Arabidopsis thaliana: one gene and its partner. The protein of the gene in region 2 interacts with the protein of the main gene of each other region in a pairwise test. Each region holds a gene or a part of one and is shown on either strand. Other genes may lie near its edges.

Evidence for each region. Proteins that work in one complex are often made in the same cells at the same time.
Region 1: the proteins of AT4G38790 (region 2) and AT3G26110 interact in a protein complementation assay, tested with the Arabidopsis thaliana proteins (one large-scale study listed by BioGRID).

What each region holds. Positions count from the first base shown.
Region 1 is NC_003074.8:9,538,742-9,543,736, forward strand, and holds AT3G26110 (Anther-specific protein agp1-like protein), read left to right. Parts: upstream 1-2,741; 5' UTR 2,742-2,831; coding exon 2,832-3,218; 3' UTR 3,219-3,423; downstream 3,424-4,995. Other genes in the region: AT3G26100 (Regulator of chromosome condensation (RCC1) family protein), read left to right, coding at 70-471, 684-1,068, 1,166-1,408; AT3G26115 (Pyridoxal-5'-phosphate-dependent enzyme family protein), read left to right, coding at 3,560-3,634, 3,784-4,092, 4,180-4,222, 4,302-4,631, 4,745-4,874, 4,983-4,995.
Region 2 is NC_003075.7:18,108,763-18,115,033, reverse strand, and holds AT4G38790 (ER lumen protein retaining receptor family protein), read right to left. Parts: upstream 3,699-6,271; 5' UTR 3,609-3,698; coding exon 3,383-3,608; intron 3,018-3,382; coding exon 2,818-3,017; intron 2,741-2,817; coding exon 2,600-2,740; intron 2,522-2,599; coding exon 2,441-2,521; intron 2,314-2,440; coding exon 2,189-2,313; intron 2,106-2,188; coding exon 2,057-2,105; 3' UTR 1,828-2,056; downstream 1-1,827. Other genes in the region: MTN1 (methylthioadenosine nucleosidase 1), read left to right, coding at 38-137, 226-289, 373-464, 624-730, 973-1,047, 1,151-1,225, 1,297-1,389, 1,482-1,679; AT4G38781 (uncharacterized protein), read left to right, coding at 3,841-3,993; AT4G38780 (pre-mRNA-processing-splicing factor-like protein), read left to right, coding at 4,005-4,201, 4,410-4,533, 4,616-4,708, 4,801-5,191, 5,292-5,784, 5,880-6,271.

The DNA.
Region 1 (4,995 bases), on a different chromosome or scaffold from region 2:
CATCAAGATCTGAAAAGAGAAGAAAATATATGCTCTTGGCTTGATGGAGTTTGTTATCGTGCTGTGCAGATCATTGCAGGGAGTTCGAATCATCCAAGCAGCTGCTGGTGCTGCTCGGACAATGCTAATAAGCGATGACGGAAAAGTTTATGCGTGTGGAAAAGAATCCTTCGGGGAAGCTGAATACGGAGGGCAAGGGACTAAACCAGTTACAACTCCTCAGCTTGTAACATCTTTAAAAAACATATTTGTAGTGCAAGCAGCTATTGGGAATTACTTTACCGCTGTTCTCTCCCGAGAAGGAAAGGTTTATACATTCTCGTGGGGCAATGACGGTAGACTAGGACACCAAACTGAGGCTGCGGATGTCGAGCCTCGTCCTTTGTTAGGCCCACTCGAGAATGTACCCGTTGTGCAGATTGCTGCTGGTTATTGCTACCTTCTTGCCTTAGCCTGTCAACCAAATGGCATGTGAGTTCCTTTTTTACACTTTCTTTTCTACTTTAGACCAGTTCAACAATATTATAGGTTACAACAAATGTAGTCATATTTGTATGGTTAAACTCTTTTGACAAAAATAATTTGGATCCTAAATTTTTTGCTATGTTTCTATGGGTCATGTGCAATAGAACACTATGCAAATGTCCAACAGCAGCACTGACTCTGTAGCATGCTTATTTTAGGTCTGTTTACTCAGTTGGTTGCGGTTTGGGAGGCAAACTTGGTCATGGGTCAAGAACAGATGAGAAGTATCCTCGGGTCATCGAGCAGTTTCAGATATTGAATCTTCAACCTAGGGTAGTTGCAGCGGGTGCTTGGCATGCCGCGGTGGTAGGTCAGGATGGAAGAGTGTGCACTTGGGGTTGGGGAAGATATGGATGTTTAGGTCACGGTAACGAGGAGTGTGAATCAGTCCCTAAGGTTGTTGAAGGTCTAAGCCATGTCAAAGCAGTTCATGTCGCAACAGGAGACTACACTACTTTTGTGGTCTCAGACGATGGTGATGTTTACTCGTTTGGCTGCGGCGAATCCGCTAGTCTCGGTCACCATCCATCCTTTGATGAACAGGTTAGTGATTGGCCATGGCCTCCATTGTTTCTTTTGCTTACATTATATGTTCTAAACTTATGTTTAGTCGTATGTCTGGTTTGATTTTTTGTTGCAGGGTAATCGACATGCAAACGTGCTAAGTCCAACGGTAGTAACATCGCTAAAACAAGTGAACGAGCGGATGGTCCAGATAAGTCTAACGAACTCCATATACTGGAACGCTCATACATTTGCGCTCACGGAATCGGGGAAGCTATTCGCGTTTGGTGCAGGCGATCAGGGTCAGCTTGGAACAGAGCTTGGTAAGAACCAAAAAGAAAGGTGTGTACCGGAAAAAGTGGATATCGATCTCAGCTAGCTAGCTGACTTATGTGGTTTGGTTGGTAAGAAACTACGTTTGACATCAAGGAAACAAAAACGCAAGAAAATTTGCGTTTGCTTTTTATGTTCATAAGACTTGGAAGCTTGTACAAAAAGGGGAATAACATAAACTTGTCTTTAACATTTCATTGTATAGGGTTTTTAGATTATTCTAATTGTTCATTGGTTAAGTTTTAGGTTATGTTGTTAATAATTATCAAATAATTTCATTAAATCAAATTATTGTCAGATTCAATTTCTACCAAATTTTTATTTTATTTTCTGTTTTCATATTTGTTGGGTTTACATCTATATATACATTTTTGCAGCCATTTTGTGATTTACATTTATATATACATCAATAAATCATGGAGTTGGAACTTATTTACAATGGTTACCACTGGCTTATTCAATGCGAAAATTAACTATCAAATAAAAGCAAATCTTATTCAAAAGAATATGCTCTTATTCCATGGCCTAGTTATTTTTGCCAAAATGGTTAAAATATTTAAAAATTAAATAATTATTTGAAAGAAAACTTTAAATTGATTTAAATTATAAATCTTTTAATAAAAATATTAATAAAAAAATAAAATAAAATAATTTCACCGAACATGATTAGATAGTAGGACTAGATGGTATGACATGTTTATAATATTATAATATATAAACTTTATAACAATTAAATAAATATTTGAAAGAAAACTTCTAAATTGATTTGAATTAAATATTTTTTAAATTAAAGTATTATTAAAACAAAAATAACAAAATAATGTCTAATTTTACTGAACAGGGTTAGTGGTAGGACGGGTTTGGTCGATAGTATTACGAGACGGTATACCACAAGTGAAATCCATTAGATATGTTTAATTTCATTGTGCATGATTAGATGGTATGACGGGTTTTGATCGATAATAATACGAAACGATATACTACGGATGAAATCCTAGATATGACAATTAAAATCTATATATATATTATCTTAAACACTAAATAAAGCAAACAATATTAATAAAACAAATATCTACATATACATTTTATATAACAAATTTTATTAAAAACCTAGCCCCGCGGTATACCGCGGGTCAAAATCTAGTTAGAGTACTAATATTCTATCGAAGAAAAATCTAAAATCCTATTTCTCAAATTGTTTTTGCTATATTTGATAAGATTAGAATTTAGAAAAAGCTTAATTAGGAGTAGAAGATAATATGTAATTTGCAATTTTTTCCTCAACCTTTAATATTTTTGGCAAAACCTCAAATTGCGTTGAGTCATCTTAGCACTTTGATCAAACAACTATATAAGCAAAGACCCTCATTACACAATTCAAGATAAATAAATAAAACAAAATACCCATAAAACATTTTTCAAAAAAAAAAAGTTTTTTGGGGATTACTAAATAACTAAATTAAAAAATAATGGCGCGTCTTCACCTAGCTCTCCTCCTCCTCTTCGTCGCTATCTCCGCCGTGATCGTATCAGCTGCTGAGAACGAAAAACCACCGTCAACCACCACCGCCTCAGCTCCCACCGCTACAACTCCAACCGATGGCATTGGAGGTGATATAGCAGAGGGTCCAGCTGATGACAATGCTATTGGAACAACTGACAACGACGATGCAGCTGTTACTCCCGATGATGCCAATGGAGATGATGAAGTGGCAGTCGCCGGACCTATTGGAAGCGATGCTTCGTACGCTAACTATCCTCCACCACAAAAAGAAGCTTCCGGAAGCGATGCCACCGTAGCTTTTGGCTTTGTCTCTGTTGTTGGTGCAGTTGCTGGATCGCTCTTCTTTTTCTAGAGTTGTGATCGGCGCGCGAACTTATTACTATTGTAATAAAAATGTTTGTAATATTTTCTTGTTTTAGATGTATTTTGACGATCCCTTCTTCGATGTAACATTGATTATATTGGGATGATACATATTTAATATACTAATATAAAGAAAGTTTTTTATTTGTGGGGTTAATATATTTCTGCATCTCATAAATTTACAAAAATAGCCCACAATATATGGGCCGTATTTTCTCACAGGGCCTAGCCCATCAACGTGTGAGTAAGCGCGTGTTTTTCACGTCTAAAAACCTCCATATCTTCTCCGCTAGCTCCGGAATAGAAGAAATTTTGCAGAGAGAAGCGTCAATGAAGGTCCAACGGTCAACTTTTTTGGCGGTGACCGGAAAATCAAATCTTCATCACTTTCACTCGTCTTCTCAGGTTCTCTTTTCTCTTCTCTGCGTCATCTAAATCAATTAAAAATCGTTCCTTTTGTCACTTCTAAGAATACCCATTTGCAATTGCAGAAAAAAATCTGAACTTTTTCTGATTTCATTGCGTTTTGGGGATAATGTCTTAATCAATTTCAGAGAATTCCCATTACTTCCGAGATCGATTCACGAGAGTTTGTGTCTAAATTACTCGATAGAAAATGGGGATTACAGTGTCCTGCATCTCCAATTCAGCAGATTAGTGTTTCTTCTGTCAAAGGAATCGATAAATTCTCCTTCTTGAACAACACTCGTCCACATCTCGGAGATGAAATGTCGAAGTCGAAGCAAGGATCTTCTTTTTACATTCTTAGAGATGATCTTTTACATCCTCTTGTGAATGGTAACAAAGCTAGAAAGCTTGATGCTTTGTTACCACTTGTTGAAGATCATAAAGTGACTGATTTGGTGAGAATGTGATCACTTATAATATCTCTCAACTGGGTTTTTTTTTGGAAATGGCTTAAAGTTTAGAAGTTTTTTTCTTGTGTGTAGGTTACATGTGGAGGTTGTCAAAGTGCACATACAGCTGCTGTTGGTAAAAGTTTGAATCTTTAGAGAAGAAATGGTATTGACTTTTGATTGCAATTTGAATCAGTTATTTGTATATCTTGCAGCTGTTTCTTGTGCTGAGAGAGGTCTAAGATCACATTTGCTACTGCGTGGAGAACAGCCTGATGTTTTGACTGGTTATAACCTTGTTTCAACTATGTATGGAAATGTTCAGTATGTTCCAAGATCGAGGTATGCGAATAGAGAGGAAATGCTAAGAACTTATGCGGATCTTGTTGCTGGGGAAGATGGTACTGTCTTATGGGCTAAAGACATTGTTGAGGGACGTGACACTATGAATGTTGCAAAAATGGATGATTTTTCGAGTATGAAAACTTCTCGTAGAAAGGTTTTGATCGTTAATGAAGGCGCAGGAGATGCTCTTGCATTACTTGGTAAAGATTGATTTTTGATATCTAGTTTAGGTAGTGGACCAGATCAATGTGGAAGAATTGACCAAGATTATTGTTTATGCATTATAGTTAACAAGGACTTTGTTATTCCGCAGGTATGTTTCGGTTAGTGCAGCATTTGTCACAGGATCATTTACTCGGGAAGAAGAGGCCGGTTAAATTTGTAGTGGATGCTGGTACTGGAACAACTGCTGTGGGTTTAGGAGTTGCAGCTATGTCTTTAGGGTTAGGCTCTGCTCACAAGATTTACCAATACTCTTTGTGTATGCATTTTATCTCATTGCCGAGTCTTGAAGCATCTTGGTTACCAGCTTACTTATACATTCTTCTCAGGCTTCCATGGGAA
Region 2 (6,271 bases):
AACGCATCGCCGAGAATCGGAAGAGAGGGATAAGGTTATGGCTCCTCATGGAGATGGATTAAGTGACATCGAAGAACCTGAGGTCGATGCTCAATCGGAGATTCTTCGACCGATCTCCTCAGTCGTCTTCGTCATCGGTACTTTATGATTTATGAAGTTTCCGATTCGATCGATTTCTTCTTCGTCTTCTTACTTACTTTTTGTGTGTTTCTGACGGAGCTGCAGCTATGCAAGCGGAGGCTCTTCCTTTGGTCAACAAGTTCGGACTCTCTGAAACTACTGATTCGCCGTTAAGAGCTCTCCTTTTTTCGATTTTGCTTGTTTGGATTTGATCTCCATGAATCTCTCACTTCAAAGTTTACTTTTTTGCAGGCTTGGTAAAGGATTGCCCTGGGTTCTGTATCACGGCGTGCATAAAGATCTTCGAATCAATGTAGTTTGCCCCGGAAGAGATGCAGCTTTAGGTAAGCTTTGCACTCAATGCTCTCAAAGATATGATAATTAGCCTGTGAATCTCTCAGCATTTTAGTATAGTAGCTTTGGTTTCTCAAGTCGCTGCATTGTTTGGTATGAGGGAAAATGAATGCACTTTTTTTATGCTACTAACTGAGATTTCTCTCCAGGGATCGATAGTGTTGGAACTGTTCCAGCTTCTCTCATAACTTTTGCTTCCATCCAAGCATTAAAACCTGACATCATAATCAATGCCGGAACCTGCGGTGGCTTCAAGGTACAGTTCTTTTACTTCTCGTGTGCTCTGTCTTGACTTCCAGCATCCTTGCTAAGAACCACGTCCTCTCTTCTTTCTTTACTTGTGGTTTGGGTTTGATTTTGTTACTGCTCGTTTACTCAACTCTGAGATTTGAGTTGCATCATAAAAGATCTCTCTCTCTCTCCATATCTCTATTTTTATGTTGTGAAAGTTGGTTTATTTTCATGTAATGAAAGTGCTGATTGGCTGAACATTTGCAGGTCAAAGGAGCCAACATAGGCGATGTATTCCTTGTATCTGATGTTGTGTTTCATGATAGAAGAATACCAATTCCGGTAGGTTCATCTTCCTTTCTTTCTTTTTTCCATCTTTAGTGATGATTCCCTTTTTGCCAGTTCATCTTGCAAGTTCCTGAGCAATGTTTGTTTATCTCTCTAGATGTTTGATCTGTATGGAGTTGGTCTCCGTCAGGCATTCTCGACACCCAATCTCCTCAAGGAACTCAATTTGAAGGTATTTAATAGACTCAAGATGCTACTTACTCTTTTAACTATTTCAATTTTGACAAAATTGGGGTGGTTCAGATTGGCAGGTTATCTACTGGTGACTCGTTGGATATGTCCACGCAAGATGAAACATTGATCATTGCCAATGATGCTACGCTAAAGGACATGGAGGTAGTGTAATGTTAACAATTCTTATTACTGAATCTAACCAGAAAATCAATGAAACTGTTGTTTTGAAACTCTTTTGGCTCTGGATTCTTCAGGGTGCTGCCGTGGCGTATGTGGCTGATCTTCTGAAAATACCAGTCGTGTTCCTCAAAGCCGTGACCGATCTAGTGGACGGAGATAAACCTACAGCAGAAGAGTTCTTGCAGAACTTGACAGTTGTGACCGCTGCATTAGAGGGAACTGCTACTAAAGTGATCAACTTCATCAATGGGAGAAACCTTTCGGACCTTTAACTTCTGTTCTCTTCCTTTTTTATGGAGAGTGATTTTTTAAAATGCGTTCAACGTGCTTGTTGCAGTTTCACTGATTTCCAGTGATCATATTTCTCGTTAATAAATTTCAAGTTATAAGACGTTCTCTCCCTAGTGTTGCTTAAATTTTGGTAAAGAAACAATTTCAAAGATAACTTATCGACCTGAAAGACGTTAAATCCCTTGATAGGCAAAATATACAACACTGTAAAATTAATTCGTAACCGAGACACTTGGTGAAACCTCAAGACACATAAACGATGAAATCAGAGGTAAAGAAAAATTGAGCTATCTTTCCCAATTAGAATTTCCGTCAAGCTCATCGCAGGACATCGTTGGGGTATTTCTATCTTTTGAACTTATACTACTCCAGACGGTAGCCGGAGAACAAGCTGGCCTCCGAAAACGCTGTAAAGAAAAATGTTGAAACTTTTGAGATATATACAAAGAGCTAAATAGCTAAACTGTTGAAGTGAAGGACTAATGCGTACCTTTTGACGTAGTAGTAACAGAAATCTGCCAAGATGAAAGTTTGAACAATTTCTGAGATCAGAACCATTGATGGCCACAATCCATAACCCAATGCTACAAGCAACCGTCCCCGCGTGTCCACAACCTATTTTCAGCACATTAGACAATGTATTCAGCTATTCAAAATCGACTTTTAAGGTACTAATCCAATCGAGTATAGGAATCACCACTATTGGTATAACCTCTATCCACTCTTGAAGATCAAAACTAACCTGTAAAACCCAGTGGGCACAGCTGAGGAACCTTGCTACTCCAAGTGCAAAAACATAATGAGCCGTGAACGGTTCAACAATCTGAAAACCAAATAGACGCGGATTAGAGAGTAAAACAAATGTAGTTCTCTACTTGACATTGTGAAATAAAGTAGTGACCTTTGTGTTCTGCATCACTCGTAGCTGAGGTAGTACTGAAACAGCTTCAAGGTATACACATAAAGCCCATGAAATTCTGTTTATTATGTTATGAGAGGTCGATGGATGGATGAACACAGCTAATGCAACACAGGGCGCAAGCTGCAAAAATTGAAATCAGATCATTGTCACTGTAAATGATAACAAACAACTCGAGGATCAAAACCAGATTGACTTACCACATAATAGAGAGGAAAGTTGTCTTTGTCCTCCATGTAACTAGCTCTTAACTTGAAACGAATCATAAATATAACCCAGAGAGTTGTTCCCAAAGTAGCCAAGTCAAGAATGGTATGTATATCATATTCCATTACAATGCTACAATACAGCCTAACAGCTAAAAATATCGCCGTAAGCTCCTGAGATTTCAGTGACAATCCTGCAAAATCATTCACAAAGTTATATAAACACATCGAAGGTAAACACTTTCGATTTAAAAAAAGAACCATAGAATGCATCTTAAACCCTAAATTGCCAATTGAATCCTTGATTATAAAGATGATGATTCTACGAATTACGGCTAAAGGCTGCTTCCGGGAGCAGATAATAGTGGTAAACCAATGAAATCCTGATCAAAGCTCGAAAATTTGGACGCGATTATGAGGAAAAACAAAAAAGTTGTGACGTTGAAAAGTAATTTTGCTAAGAACAGAGGAATACATACGATCAGAAGCTGATAAGGCAGGACTGAGTTGAAAAACCCTAAAAATGGATGTGATAAAGACAAGACACATAGAATAGTACCGGCACAGGTCTTCTCCTTCATGAGTTTGTAGATGAGCACACAGATCCCGATGGAATGAACAGCCTCAGCGGCAACGAAGAGATTGTCGTGATCGTGAACAATGAATCTGAGAAGAACCAAAGCCGCCATGCCAGTGACCACGGCGAGAAAAGCCTTCACCTTCGGAGGTTGTCTCCTAACCCATGACCACACCACGTGGATCGGAGTCTTCGTCGTCGCCTTCATGTTTTGCTTTTTTTCGCTTTTCTTCTTCTTCTGTCTCTGATTTTCTCGGCAAAAGTGAAAAAGGTAACTTCTGATCGAGAGAGATTAAAAAGTCTGGTTTTGGTTGACTTGAATGTAAATTACCAAATCACCCCTTCCACACATCTCTTACTCTTAAATACTAAATGAGCCGTGACTGAATCCATAAATTAGGCCCATAATCGTATCTATTGTTTTTCTAAAAGGCCCATGAATGCCTTCGTATATATATGTTCGTTCGGTTAATCGTCTTTCTTACCAACCTCACCCGACGACGGTGATTTTAGGGATTTTCGTGTTCGTCAAGGCTCGCACTGAGGTTTTAGGGTTTTGCTCCTCGGCGATTTTGCTGGGCCTTTGGATTTGAAATCTGAAGCTATGTGGAACATTGATGGTACGTCCTTAGCTCCTCCTGGTACCGACGGTTCGAGGATGCAGACACCTTCACATCCCGCTGATCATCCTTCTTACACGGCGCCTTCTAATCGGAATACTCCGACGGTTCCTACTCCCGAGGATGCAGAGGCGAAGCTTGAGAAGAAGGCGAGAACATGGATGCAGCTAAATTCCAAACGGTACGGCGACAAGAGGAAGTTTGGGTTCGTGGAAACTCAGAAGGAGGACATGCCACCTGAGCACGTTAGGAAAATCATCAGGCGAGTTTCTAATTTTTCAATTTCGATTTCGAAATCCAGTTGACTGGGAAACGAATCTGGTCCAATTTCTTTGTATTATTAGGTTTGGGTTAAGTTAGATTGAAACTGACTCTGCGTTTTGATTCAGGGATCATGGTGATATGTCATCAAAGAAACATCGACTTGATAAACGTGTATATCTTGGAGCACTTAAGTTCGTTCCTCACGCAGTTTTCAAGCTCCTGGAGAATATGCCTATGCCCTGGGAACAGGTAATTATTCACTTAGTGATCTATATCTCGCTTTAGTTGTTCTCCTGCTCTGCTCAAAATTTTGAACTCAGATATTTTCCAGGTCCGGGACGTGAAGGTCTTGTACCACATCACTGGAGCTATTACATTTGTGAACGAAGTACGATGGGTTGTGGAACCTATTTACATGGCTCAGGTGGGTGAATAATCTCCCTCTCTCTTCTTTTGTGTCTGTGCATTTGTGAATTTGTGAGACATGTTTTCTAGTGATGATTCTTTCGTTTGCAGTGGGGTTCTATGTGGATAATGATGAGAAGGGAGAAGAGGGATCGTCGTCATTTCAAGAGAATGCGGTTTCCACCATTTGATGATGAGGAGCCCCCTCTAGACTATGCTGATAACCTGTTGGACGTTGATCCTCTAGAGGCAATTCAGTTGGAGCTAGATGAAGAAGAAGATTCTGCTGTGTACTCTTGGTTTTACGACCACAAGCCACTTGTAAAAACAAAAATGATCAATGGTCCAAGTTACCAGACGTGGAATCTCTCACTTCCAATTATGTCAACCCTTCACAGGCTTGCAGCCCAGTTGTTGTCTGATTTGGTTGATCGCAACTACTTCTACTTGTTTGACATGCCATCATTCTTTACTGCAAAGGCACTGAACATGTGCATACCAGGTAACGCTATACTCTATGTTCTCCTGTTCTGATATCTTCGTTTTCACAGTTGTTGTCCTTCTGTTCTCTTTCCCTGATTCAATTTGGTACTCTTTTTCAGGCGGTCCTAAGTTTGAGCCTTTGCATCGTGATATGGAGAAAGGAGATGAAGACTGGAATGAATTTAATGACATCAACAAGCTTATAATTCGATCCCCTCTGCGAACTGAGTACAAAGTAGCTTTCCCACATCTGTACAATAATAGGCCCAGGAAAGTAAAACTCTGTGTCTATCACACTCCTATGGTTATGTACATAAAGACTGAGGATCCTGACCTTCCTGCCTTTTATTATGATCCATTAATTCACCCCATAAGTAACTCTAATAACACTAATAAAGAACAGCGCAAAAGTAATGGTTATGATGATGATGGGGATGACTTTGTGTTACCAGAAGGACTGGAACCTTTGCTAAATAACTCGCCACTCTACACTGACACTACAGCTCCTGGCATTTCATTGTTGTTTGCCCCTCGGCCTTTCAATATGAGGTCTGGGAGGACTCGGCGGGCTGAAGATATACCCCTTGTTGCAGAGTGGTTTAAGGAGCACTGGTAAGCTAATTTTTCTGATGCTACTGTGGTTCTCTTTCCCCTTTTGAAATTTACTAGACATTGTATTAACTTCTTAGTTATCTCATTTTCTGCAGTCCTCCAGCATATCCTGTCAAAGTTCGGGTTAGTTACCAGAAGCTTTTGAAATGTTATCTACTGAATGAGCTGCACCATAGACCCCCTAAGGCTCAGAAGAAGAAGCATTTGTTTCGATCTCTTGCAGCTACAAAGTTTTTTCAGAGCACCGAACTGGATTGGGTTGAAGTGGGTCTGCAAGTCTGCCGGCAGGGGTATAATATGCTGAACCTGTTGATTCACAGGAAGAATTTGAACTACCTGCACCTTGATTATAACTTCAACCTCAAGCCTGTGAAAACTCTGACAACCAAGGAACGAAAGAAGTCGCGTTTTGGAAATGCTTTCCATCTCTGCCGTGAGATCCTCCGGCTGACAAAACTTGTAGTTGATGCAAATGTCCAGTTCCGAC